Linked DNA regions of Drosophila melanogaster. The protein of the gene in region 2 binds, or shares a complex with, the protein of the main gene of each other region. Each region holds a gene or a part of one and is shown on either strand. Other genes may lie near its edges. A codon is read from its position in the direction of its gene.

Evidence for each region.
Region 1: the proteins of Dcr-2 (region 2) and r2d2 are in contact, whole or in part, in a cryo-EM structure (PDB 7V6B), measured with the Drosophila melanogaster proteins. Residues at the interface, in NP_523778.2 of Drosophila melanogaster: Lys244 (codon at 4,638), Ser248 (codon at 4,626), Leu251 (codon at 4,617), Met252 (codon at 4,614), Asn253 (codon at 4,611), Ile301 (codon at 4,467), Val305 (codon at 4,455), Arg311 (codon at 4,437), Leu321 (codon at 4,407), Arg324 (codon at 4,398), Thr325 (codon at 4,395), Thr328 (codon at 4,386), Glu331 (codon at 4,377), Lys332 (codon at 4,374), Arg334 (codon at 4,368), His335 (codon at 4,365), Leu336 (codon at 4,362), Val338 (codon at 4,356), Tyr1089 (codon at 1,916), Met1090 (codon at 1,913), Val1093 (codon at 1,904), Leu1100 (codon at 1,883), Ser1101 (codon at 1,880), Thr1102 (codon at 1,877), Tyr1103 (codon at 1,874), Pro1104 (codon at 1,871), Val1105 (codon at 1,868), Glu1106 (codon at 1,865), Leu1107 (codon at 1,862), Asp1108 (codon at 1,859); in NP_001162903.1 of Drosophila melanogaster: Met109, Pro110, Val117, Gln118, Gln119, Ser120, Glu127, Val129, Ala135, Ser136, Ile137, Val138, Arg139, Tyr140, Leu160, Asn164, Gly217, Met218, Arg219, Leu220, Cys221, Arg223, His224, Asn225, Lys228, Val270, Glu271, Ser272, Ser273, Leu278.

Annotation. Positions count from the first base shown.
Region 1 is NT_033779.5:7,798,306-7,802,621, reverse strand, and holds r2d2 (r2d2), read right to left. Parts: upstream 2,476-4,316; 5' UTR 2,370-2,475; exon of another isoform or gene 2,277-2,369; 5' UTR 2,120-2,276; coding exon 1,975-2,119; intron 1,902-1,974; coding exon 1,111-1,901; 3' UTR 524-1,110; downstream 1-523. Other genes in the region: Cdc14 (cell division cycle 14), read left to right, coding at 1-135; Herp (Homocysteine-induced endoplasmic reticulum protein), read left to right, coding at 3,110-3,313, 3,999-4,316.
Region 2 is NT_033778.4:17,575,384-17,583,509, forward strand, and holds the start of Dcr-2 (Dicer-2), read right to left. Parts: upstream 6,143-8,126; 5' UTR 6,044-6,142; coding exon 6,023-6,043; intron 5,963-6,022; coding exon 5,832-5,962; intron 5,711-5,831; coding exon 5,533-5,710; intron 5,094-5,532; coding exon 4,786-5,093; intron 4,730-4,785; coding exon 4,033-4,729; intron 3,970-4,032; coding exon 3,412-3,969; intron 3,346-3,411; coding exon 3,171-3,345; intron 3,113-3,170; coding exon 12-3,112; 3' UTR 1-11. Other genes in the region: CG6484 (uncharacterized protein), read right to left, coding at 6,747-7,442, 7,859-8,126.

The DNA.
Region 1 (4,316 bases), on a different chromosome or scaffold from region 2:
CAGCACCTGGTACGCGGTGTGAGTCGTGCGTCCAGCGAAAAGGATCGGGATCGGGAGCGACAGCAACAACAACAACAACAGTCTCTGGACCATCAACAATCCAATCTCAAGCTGCGCAAGAAGATTAGCTATTGAACACTAATCATATATTGTTTCCTTTAGTTGTGTAAATATTATTTTGACTAGTAAATTGAACGTTTCCCGATGAGATGATGAGATTGATGTGGCGAATGCAATGATTTTTTAGATATTCCAATGCAATCAAATTTGGTGATTGATTAGGAAATTATTTGCAATAACAATCTCATTTATACACTTACATTTTTTTTTAGGAAAACATTTCAAATTGTTATGGATTTGTTATTTAACATATTGTACTAATATAAGATAACCCATTAAAAGGCAAGCAATTGACATTGAAATTGTTAATACATTGTTGAAAGTTTTTAAGAGGAACGCTTAGTTTTCATTTTAGCATTGTGTTGTAAAAATAAAATCAAAAATGCTGAAGACTACGAAGCACTTTATTTATTTTAGACTGAAACCCCTTTTATTCGTATAAAAGTTGTACTTGTAAAAAAAAAAAGAAATGCAGCATTTTTACCATTTTTTTCCGTCAAATTATTTAAAATATTTGTTTCAAGTAAGTCTTTGATTACTAGCATTCCTTTTAAAGGCAAATGTTCAGATTTTTAATTTCACTGTGCAATACATATTTATGTAAATTGCTTCAAATATTTTATAATCAGTTGTTGCAAACAATAAGTTCGGACCGTATAAATACTTTACATTTTAATAGAATTAACATTGGTATTGGCATCGAAAAGTAATTAATAATATCATTATGTTATACCTTCTCGAAAGTAAAAGTTGTTGTACCCACTCCCCTTACTTATTTCCTTGGATTTTTTACACCTATCTCAATCGTGTACAAAGTTAACATAGATGTTTACTAAAAGACCTTGAAAATAATTTTTTTATGTTTCCCACCTACAAATTGGTGGAGATTGTATTAATCGTAAGATTAAATGAAATATGTGCATTCTAGAGTGTAAATAAAACGAGTTTACTTAGTTTTAAGCTAGAATAGTTGAATAAATGTTATACGCATTAAATCAACATGGTGCGAAAATAGTCTATTATATGGTCGTAGATATCGGTCTCCTTTGCCATAAGGACCACGTCGAATGCACAATTAAGCTCGACGCTAAGCAAGGGAACCAACGATGAAGATTCCACTTCACTGATTTTGGGTGTTATCTTTAAAGAGCTCATTACGTCCATAGCCTTATCCTTGGAGCTCTCGTATTCATCTGAATTGATGGCCTCAATGGCCTCCTTTTTCAGGGTAGGATAGAAGTTCTTGAAGTAGTTGTGTCGGTCGCAGAGCCGCATGCCTGTATGGTCTACGCTCCCGGCTTCCTTCAACTCCCAGTAGGTGGTAAATTTCTTTCTGCGCAATGCCTCCAATTCCTCCATAGATTCTTCCATATCAACAACTTTCAATTTGCTTGTGCTCGCTACTTGCATTTGATCCGGACGCAAATTGTCCGAATTGCTGGAGATTAAGGCCAGCATTTCAATGGCCGCTCGCTGACGGGCATCCTTCTTTTTGTCCGACTTTCCGTAGCGTACTATGGAGGCCACGGAGCAACAGGCCACGAATTCCGGGGCGCTCGGGGTGCCGCTTTGCTGCACTACCTCAATGCAGGGCAGTGGCATCTCGCGGCGGACGCAGTAGTCACGCAGCTCCTTCACCATGTCCCGGTTGAGGTTAGTCAGTTCCTCATCCAGATCACCCACAGTCGAATCCTTCATCAAGCCGTGTATGCCGGGCAGCAGTTGGATTTTACGCAAGATATTGCTGGCAGCCAGGTGTTTGGCATCACGCTTCGAACGCCCTAGAATTGGATAAATATGTGGCGGTTTAGATACGAATATAAATAGTGGTTGAGATTTGTAATTTAAATTTACCATTTCCAAGGGCCTCTATCTCCAATAGTTCAACTTTACAGACGTACCCTCCGTCTTCGCCGGGAATAAAACTGTATGTTGGTAGATTAATCTGTGTCCGGGCACAAAACTCCTGTAGAGCAGATACGGCTGACTTGTTATCCATGAGTTCAAGGGGAAAAGGCACGTCGGACGTGCTAACATTCAACAGAATATAACCATATATATAATTTATAAAATATCTAAAGCACTGCAATGTTATTAGAGATGGCACGCGAATCACGAAGCGGCAACGATAGAATAGGAAATCTTGACGAAGACATCTGTAAATGAATTATTTTATGCCGCTTTGTCAAAAAAATATTTTCACGAAATAGTATTGAATTCGTAATTCGAATACGAAAACAGCGGCAAACCTTCTTAACTTTTTTACTAAGGAGCAAATGCATTTTATATGCTATTCGGTGTTTTCATTCAAAGTTCAACGTCTGAAGTGTTATACATAATCGACACGTCACGATGACGCGAGTTGGCATCCCCGTAAGTCAAGGCAACCCTGTTGCGTAGTATATGGCATTAACAAGTGTTGCTGTCAGTGATGAGCAAAATCCACAACTGCAAATAACTAGATACCGTATATTTTTCAAAGGAATAAATTCTAAAAACACTAAAACCAAGTGTTTGAGCAACGACTTTAATATTTTCCAACTGTGTACTTAAATTGCCACATCCCACACACTTTGGAAAATCAATTCTCAGCTGTTTGTGCAACCTGCGACTTAAAAATACCTGCTACTCGCGGCAGCCCTGTGACCGACGCTCATCACTTGCCACAGGTCAGAACCAAATGAAGAGTAGTTTTTGATCAACTGCGGAACGTTTACTGCGTTTCATAATCAATAACTCTGTGCTGCGAGCAAAACACCACAGAACGAACAGCTGTTGAAAACCAAACAATAGCATAATACCAAATTAAATGTCAAATTCAGAATAAACTATTTCTCGAAAATACGCAGAGAGCAGAGCGGAGTAGGAAGTGAGAAACAGTGGCTGCGTAAAAAGTGTCCCCGCTAGCGCAGCAAAAACCCATCACCGATCTTCGTATCGCGGTCATTAATTAGCAATAGAAAGTTCTCCGATTCGCGGGGTCAGCCAGATGGAGGAGAACGCCGCCCCACCCGCAGCCGCAACAGCCGCGGGCTGCGATGCCGCCACCCGTCAAAAGAATCCGGAAACCAGTGTCCGGCTGCTCATCAAGTCGTCCAACCAGCAGTATGAGGATCTCAATGTGGACTCCGATCTCTGCTGGACGGTCCAGAGGCTGAAGAAGCACCTATCTCTTATCTATCCTGGCAAACCGGTGGGTTATCGAGTTGGTTCCCCCCCTTGTTATCGTATAGGTAGAAAACTGGCCAGGAGCCCCATTATCTTATCGAGAAGTTTGTTATTGTTTATCATCTTCGTTTAGGATTCATAGGTGTGTCGGTTCCCAAAGCTATTTGCGTCTTAGTCGCAAGTACACGTCAGTGGATTGCTCCTCTAAATTATAGTCGCCGTCATGCACTTGCGTCATGCACTTGGTCTATGCCAAATCGATGGGTCGGAACTGGGAACTGGGATTAATTTGGTTACGGTTAGAAAGTGATAAGATTTTTGGACATATTCACGCTCCACTCATGTGCCAAGTTTTTTATGTACATATGTACATCCCACATATCAATATCACTGATATATACTAAAGATTCAGATCATTGCAGGCAGAAAAAATACATTAGCACTCTTTATTTCCAGAGCAAATCAAGTAGAATTTATAAAAATTTATTTAGTTTCAAGTATCATTTCCATAAAGTCAACTGACAAGTACAAGTTGTTATCTCTTGGAGTGTGCAAATAAATAGATTTAGGCACTGTTTGATAGTATAAATTTCGCGCGGAGGTAAAAGCAACAATGAGTTATCTCTAGGTTCCCTCTGAATACCTATAATGTGAAATTTTATGTTTTATGTTTTGACCACTATAACTATTTCTTTCCATTTTTTCTGTAGTTAATCCAGGACCAGAAACTTATTTACTCGGGCAAGCTATTAGATGACTCCCAAAAGATATCTGAGGTGATACGCAGCTACAAGGATGTCTACCAACAGCACCACATATTTCACTTGGTGTGTGCCAGCAAGCAAGTGATAAGGCCGGCTGCCAAAGCCCCCACTGTTCCGCAGAAGGATGCGGTTCCAGCTGGGCCCGAGGTCACTGGGAATGCAAATGAGCTGCGACAACGTCATGCTCCACATCAGCAGCAGGCACAGCAGGGCAACGCTGGACCACACGTGACGGGTGACATCGGTTTGGCCAATCCCTGGACA
Region 2 (8,126 bases):
GAATCATCATATTAGGCGTCGCATTTGCTTAGCTGCTGAAGGGCGTGCTTGGCAGCCGATAGCTTGGCCTGGTCCTTATTGCTCCCAAATCCGTACACCTTGATCGTCTTTTCCATGCAGGTAAATTGACAACTAACCATTACAGTTTCCCCTTCGACGATGGGCGAGCTAAACACGGGCTTCGCATGCTTGTGCTCAACGAGCTGTCGTATATGATTGATGGGCACTTTGCGCGTGAACTCCTGAAGCTCCGGCTCGAAGAGATTGAAAATTACCTCCCAAGTACGTTGGAGATCTCGGCAGTCCAGGTATACGGCTGCAATAAGGGCCTCCAGAACATCCCCCAACGCCTTTGGCACATCCACGTTTGTGGACATGTTGAACTCACCTTTTGGTGGGACTCCTTTCTCTGCTTCCTGAGAAATGCATTTATTTGCATGCGGTAACTCAGTCATATCCAATTCGTCATCCAAGTCCAGCGGAGTCGGCTGAACATCAGCTTCCTCGAGCAGAATGCGCACATAGTTGGTAACCCGGTGACCCTGGCTCTCCTGGAAATTCACGAATTTGGATATGATCTCGGAGAGCTTTGCGTTCTCCGCTAGGATAAAAAAGTGCAACCGATGCCGCACGCAAATGCAGGCCAGCGTAGTATTGTTGACCAAAGCGGAACGCAGATCTGTGAGGGCGCCCGGATTCATTTTCGTATTGTTCTCGAAAATATAGGCAGAGATTAGAAAGTCGAGTATGGCATCGCCAATAAATTCCAGCTCCTGATAGGACCCAGTGATGCGATTAGTGGGATACGAGGGATGGGTGAGGGCCTGCAACAAATATCGTCGATCCTTAAACGTGTAGCCAAGATTTTTTTCCAAATAATAGTGATTTATGAGAAAGCCGTCAATTTCTGTAGTATTCACGTTCGCCCGCATTTTCTTGCCGCCCAGTTCGAGGTTCAGTAACTGAGTAAGCGGCTTGTCAATATCCGCACGGCAAATCTTGAAGTACTCTAGCATCTTGAAGGCATGCTGCAATCCGTAGTTCTTAACGATTACGCCCAATAGCGCCTCAAGGGTATCGGCTATCACCTTGTTGGGAATCGTGACCAGTCCCACGCAGAAGTTCACCTCGGATGAAAAATCGGCACCGGCATAAAAGGACTGCCCATTTGCTCGACATCCCTCCACGAAGCGGTTGTAGTTGATATCGCTGCAGTTGCCCTTCACCAGGGACTCCTCATCGCCGAGAGCCAAGTCACGGAGATTGTGTGGGCCAATAATCTTTGCGAATTCCGGATTTTCTCGCCACAAGGCTAGAACATTGTGGGGCAAACTGATGCCAGGTGGAAGCCATGTGTATCTAGGCGTAAACTGAATGGTGTTGAGCGTTTTGGGAATGTCCGCGTCGATGAGGCAGAACAACAGGTTACGATTAGACACAAGCTTGGATTTGACCTCTGTAAGAGTGCCCTCATTCCAATCCGAATACTTGCTGGCCAAGTAGAGCGTGGCACTAAGTTTTAAGAAGGAATCGCCCAGAATCTCAAGGCGTTCCATGTCGAAAACATCCGCTGCGCTCGAGGCAGTGATTGCAGCCAAAAACTCGCCCTGCTCCGCTGGCGTTATATGTTCTTTGGAAACAGTTTTTTGCAAAATGAGCAGTGGTTTTACCTTCCCGCGGACAGTCGGTTTCGACGGCATCAAAGCTGGCACGTTTGCGTTAGTCTTGGCCGGAGTTCTGTTGCCATAGATATTACCCGTGGGCATATGGAACTGATTTTTTGCCCAGTATTCCTTATCTTCAAAATCCATCTCATTCATCTCACATACATTACCAACGCTAAAATGATAGTAGTAGTCCAGCTCTACGGGATACGTACTCAAAAGATTTCGCGACAGATCAACCGGCTCCATATACTTTTGCCAGGGATTTTCGAATTCTGTTATTTCAAGATTGGCCACGGACGCCTCAATGGACTTTGTGGGCATTGGCTCTAAAAGGGATTTCGGCTCCTCGATATCCTCAGTTGGTATGACATTGCCCAAGGGGTCGACATTCCGCTTTAGCGAATAATCAATTTCTAGTGGTCTGGGCATGTAATCAGTTCCATTAAAAGGCAGCAGATGGAGGTTTAAATACGTATTAAATCGCTTACGTAAGGCCTCTGCGTGGAGAAGGAAGTACATGCGGTTTAAAATGCTGGGTAGGAAGATCAACTTAAGCCATAAATCCCCAGGAAAGTTAAAATTGAAGCATAGCTCCGGAATCAAAATAACTTTCATCTTAGCCTTGCTCTTCGCGTTGAACTTTCCACGATTATGAACGTAGAAAGTGAGCTGTTCCGTAAGGTCTCTGACCTCGATCATAAACTTATCCTTGTGAACAACATCACCAATGCGGTTGCCGTACTTTGACATGGTAAACTCGTAGTAGGTCTTGTCCTGTTGGTTCTTTTCCATATAACTTAACGGTGTTAGCTCACGGTGCACCTTTGTGACCAGCATGGGCTTATCATAGTTGGCATACCATTGTGTAACAATTTTGCCCTCAAAATCTTCAGGACGTGGAGCAGGTTGTTGCTCGCGTTGCTGTACATTTGACCCATGACTTTGCGGTAGTCTTCGGAAGTTGGTCATCAGTTCCCAGTCAAAGCATTTCTGTTCACCCGCACCCAGTATGAGAGGAACTACCAGGTAGGAGTTCTCCTTGCTGCGACGATCCAGCACAAAGAACGGATGCCAAATCTTCAAGATATCGCGGAATACCATTCCGTGAAACTGATGGAGCAGCTCCAGCTGTTCGGAGTTCTGGATAATTACTTCAAGTGGTGCATTGGCCACTCGAACGTGTAGCTTACCCTGATTGCTAAACAGGGGCATCTCTGCAAGGCGTGGCAGCTTGTTCCGCAGCAATATAGCATAATTTCTTGGTGTTTGGAGATTTAAATACATGTGTTCCGTGTACTCACACGATTCAAACTGCGGCTCCAAAAATATTTCGTAGGCATAACAGATTTCACCTACCCGCGGAAGTGCGTCGTAAAACTCTAATGGACATTCGGTCTTGTAGGTTCTGTCCTTGCTCTTATCGGCCTTGTTGACTGTCGCAGTCACTATGGTTGAAAGATTAATATAAGTAAACATATCTTATGCGAGTTCTTGTGAACCCACCACTATCGCCATACTTATTCCAGTGCTCAAAATGAACATCAGCAATAGAGGCTACGCGCTCCTTTAATGTTTTGGGCACGAATCTCTCGTTTAACTCTCCCAAACTGTAGAGTACTTTACACGCTTTGAAGGCAGCTGATATTTTGGCTGTTTTAACATTGTCCATGGGATCGCTCTGAAAGAAATGAAAGCAATTAACTCTATTTGATTTTGCCATTTTCAATCTGAATCTCTAGCTTACGTAAATTGTGTCTCTTAGCATGCAATTTACTGGCATGTTGATTGAAATTACGTGCTTGCCCTTGGCAGAAACACCAAATATTCTATCACGTTCGTCTTCTTGCAATACATGGAACCAGGGGATCACAAAGCCAAAAGCATCCGTGGGAATTGTCTGGCAATAGCGATGCAGTATGGCCAGGGCATTGTTGGGAAGCAACACGGCACCGTTCTCATTGGTAAAAGGGTCAATATCGTCCTGGAAGTGCCCTTTGATTTCGTACAATTCTGGCTCAGTTTTTTCTAGAACTCGATCCTTTAAATATTCGGCAATGTCATTATGCGCTTTTCGATACTGATAAATTTGCTGAATTGTCTTTTCCCTTTCCTTATCAGCTGTGAACAGCACGAATTTGGCCTCAGTGGTACGAGCCCGACCCTTTGACTGCACGTACATGTTAAAGGTTTTAACAGGATCAAGAATAAAGACATGATTGCAGGCCTGCACATCGATGCCTTCTTCTAGGACGCTTGAACATATCATAAGATTGGCATTACCGTCCCGAAACTGCTGAATGGCCTGCGAGACGGTAAGAGCATATTTTGAAAAATATCAGCAATTAACGATAATTTCCACACCTACAGATTTTTGCCATTTTCTCTCCAAGACGCTCTCAAAGTCTGGAGAAATATTGTTGCGGCCCACCATGAATTGGGGCGTGAGCACGTTTCGCAGCTCAGGCGTAGACTGGATGTAGTTGAGCAGCAAGCCATAGATGCACTTGCAGGTGTAGCGGCGTTCAACAAAGACCAGACAGCAGATATCTTTGGGATCTTTATCAGCGAAGGATACCTTAAGACTCATCAGGAATCGCTGCACTTTCGGGGTGGAGAAGTTCATAATGACTTCCTCAGTGTTTACGTTGTCATCGTCGTCGTCATAAGTCATGTCTTGCAGTTTTTGCACCAGCAAGTGACGGATTTTCTCGCACAAGGTCAAGGCCGTCCTATGCATCAATTTCACGCTTAGCGTCTCGGCCTGGCGCCTCTTTATATCGAACTCAACAATTAACGAGATTATGGCTATGGAAGCTGCGTAGATGCCATACTCTTTCATCTGGTACAGAAAATCGTTGAACAGTTGCTTTACAAAGCTCTTCTTCGACGGATCCCGCAGGCATTGCAATGACTTTGACCTTCGGATCGGTTGAACGCCAATATTCATGAGGTCTAAGGATACATAGAACTTTTCAATTTCTGCGCTTATTAACCTTGTAACCGTGAGCACTTGCTCTTGATGTGGAAAGGACACCATGACCTCTGTGGGCTTGGTGGCGTACCTGAAAAGAATATGCACTTGTTGGGAAACTGTAGCTAAAATGCCACCCGCTCTTACAGCATCACGTTTTCCATCTCCTTGGTGTCGGACACGGTAATGATGTTTCCCCGATATGTGATCTCTAGCTCTTTAAGTTTCGTGGCCACGTTCGTAATTTCATTTCCCTTGATTAACACCCCGGTGAGACCCACCACGCGCGGCAATTTTGTTTGATTAGCGATAGTGAACAATCGCATGAACTCACGAAATGGGTGGTGACCAGTGCCGTGGTGGCACTCGTCTATGATGACAACGCTCAGGGAGCTTAAAGCCACGTACGTCTGGGTGACCATGTCCAAAAAGACCTGGGCTGTGCCAACAAGAACCTGTTAAGAACCAAAAATTACACATGTAGGTTTAATTCTGGAAGCAGTGTATTATTATTAACTATAAATATTCCTCGAATTACACTGAAAAGTCTAACATGAATTCAATGTAATAAAAATGACCATCAAATCTACTACTCGATGATCCAGAACAATCCACAAACTCAAGTTAATTTTAAATAAACAAATAAAATAAATAAATAAACAAATAAACATACTACAAAAAAAAAAAAAAACAAATAAAATACATCAATTGACGAAATGATGATTTTGTGATGGCTTAGCAAAACACGACCCCTTACGAGCCCATAAAAATGCTGATCCCAAATTTTTCGACTCAAGTGGTGATCGCAATTGCAGTGTGTAGTGGTAGTGTAGTGTTTAGTCCGTACGTGATCATATGCGTATATAAAAAATGCCTCCGCCATCCTATACTCACTTGGTTTTTTTTGATTTCATCACTCCACATTCCGCGCGTCCAGTCATCCACTCCCTGTTCACCCACATAAAAGCCAACCTTAAAGTTGGTGCACCGCCTGACGGCCATCGCCTGTTGTCGGGCCAATTCCACAGTATTGCACATGAACAACGCACGCTTTCCGCCGCTTTCGATGGGTCTGTGTAAACAAATCGGAATCCGATATAGGTATTACATATAATAATATATATATAAATGTAAGTATCGGATATAGGTAATACATATAATAATATATATATGTATATCCATTCGCTACTAACTTGTCAAAGTCCTGCGAGAAGCGCTTTAGGACCAGGATGGCCACGAACGTTTTCCCAGATCCTGTGGGCAGGTAGACAATGCCATTGCTCTTCGTTAGGTGGTCAACCAGGCGAAGTTGATAGCCGCGAGGCTGGAAAGGATTTTGTTAATTATTTTGCAATAAGCGAGAGCGCAAGCCAATTCATTTTACCTTGATTTCCACATCTTCCATATCTTCGCTCTTGGTTACAGAGTCTTCGGGATATTTTGATATTACAATTTGAAGTCAAATAATTTACGATTAAAGAACAAAGAAGCCGGTGACAGAGTGGCCAGCGGCTCTTATAAGATGCCTTGTGTCAAACGTATTAAGAATTGTGTTTCAAAACGGACTGGTCACACTACGCAGTGCGGTTCTTTGAACTTAAATTATTACCACAAACCGCAACATAAATAAATTTGTTTTGAAATGCTCGCTGCCAATAATATACCTTCCGGAAATAATAAACGTTTCCATTTTTATCGAAATCTGCAACAAAATAATAAGCATTTTCGGTAGTGTAAGTTCGTGAATTATTTATTATTTGAATTCTTAATCAATACCAATTGTTAAGAATATATCACATCACTTTTTGACCCATACTATCCTTAGATCATTTAGACCTTCGTTTGCAGCCCTCCTCCATACGAGTAAAGTTTCTTATTTCCTCATTTTTTTCCAAGACTTAAAATCTTGTCAAACTAATTAGAATTATACTAATTGAGTCTAATTAGAACTACACTGACGGAAATGAACGAAAATTCAATCGGGTAGTTTATATACATGGTGATTCTACTTTATTGATTATGCTCTTCACTTCTTATACATAACATTTTCTTATTGGCTTAAGGAGAATATGAAAAAGTATCGCTACGACTAAGACTACGCGACATCATCACGTCTGGCTCTTGTCATCACTTTTGACACCCTTTCCTCCGGACAGCAGGTCCTGGATTTCGATTATTGTCTTGCCCTTGGTCTCCGGCACGAAGAACAGAGAGTAGAAGAAGGCGATGACCGCGATCGCGGTAAAGATCCAAAAGGTCGGACCCGGCCCGATCGAGCTCTTGAGGATTGGGAAGAGCAGCGTGACCACGAAGGCCGACAGCCAGTTGCTGGTGCCGGCAATCGATCCTGCCACACTCTTCACATCCTCCGAGAAGAGTTCCGCCATCACCAGCCACGGCACCGGTCCGAATCCAATCGAGAAGAAGATTATGAAAATGCAGATACTGCTGATCGGCAACCAACCGAAATTGTCCATTGAAGCCGGATCGTTCTCCTTTAGCTGAAAGTACACGCCCATCAGTGCAGTGGACACGGCCATCAGAACGCCAGAGATAAGGAGCAGGATGCGACGGCCAGCCTTGTCGATAATGGCCACGGCAACCAGCGTGCTGGTCACTTGGGTGACTCCAATGATAAGCGTGGCATCGCTGCCACTTATGTCAGAGCCCGTATCCTCGAAAATGGAGGCGGAGTAGAAGAGAACGGCGTTGATTCCCGTCCACTGCTGGAAGACCTGCAGGAGCACAGCGATTCCAAGACCCTTCAGGACGATGGGTCGACGAAGGGAGGACAGAATGTTGACCTGCAATAAAAATAAGACCACGTATTATTTTCTAATCTTCACCAAAATCAATGTATTTATTAGGTATGATAAGTAGTATCTGCTACACTGATTACTAAATGGAATAATGGAAACAAATTACGTACCTGTGTTCATATGTAGTTTAACTACGAAATCGTTTAAGTTTAATGCAAACCCTATCTTGGTTCAAGTTATTGAAAATCTTAATGAATGAAAACAAAATATTATATACTATCTGAATTTACAACATTTCTTTTATCAGGGTAAGTATATGTATGTATCACTTCCGATTGTGTGATAATGGAAAGAGTAATAAATCTGTTAAAGCCCTGCGAACCCTTTATAAAGTTTCTTTATGCCTTCAATATCGATCGATTTTGATTGATTGATTGATTATTAGTGGAATGTTAACTAACCTGTGGCATATCAATCTGCTTCTGGGACTCCTCCAGGATCTCCTTGAGCTCGTCATCGATATCGGCATCCTTGCCGCGCAGCCACTGCAAGGCCTTGGCGGCATCATCGTTGCGTCCCTTCATGGCCAGGTAGACGGGTGACTCCGGCATGAAGAAGTGTATGATAGCAAAGATTACGGGCAGAATAGCGCACAGGATATTGATGGTGAGCAGGGGCAGGAAGGCGCCCACCAAATAGCCGTACAGCACGCCCGACACAATCAGCAGC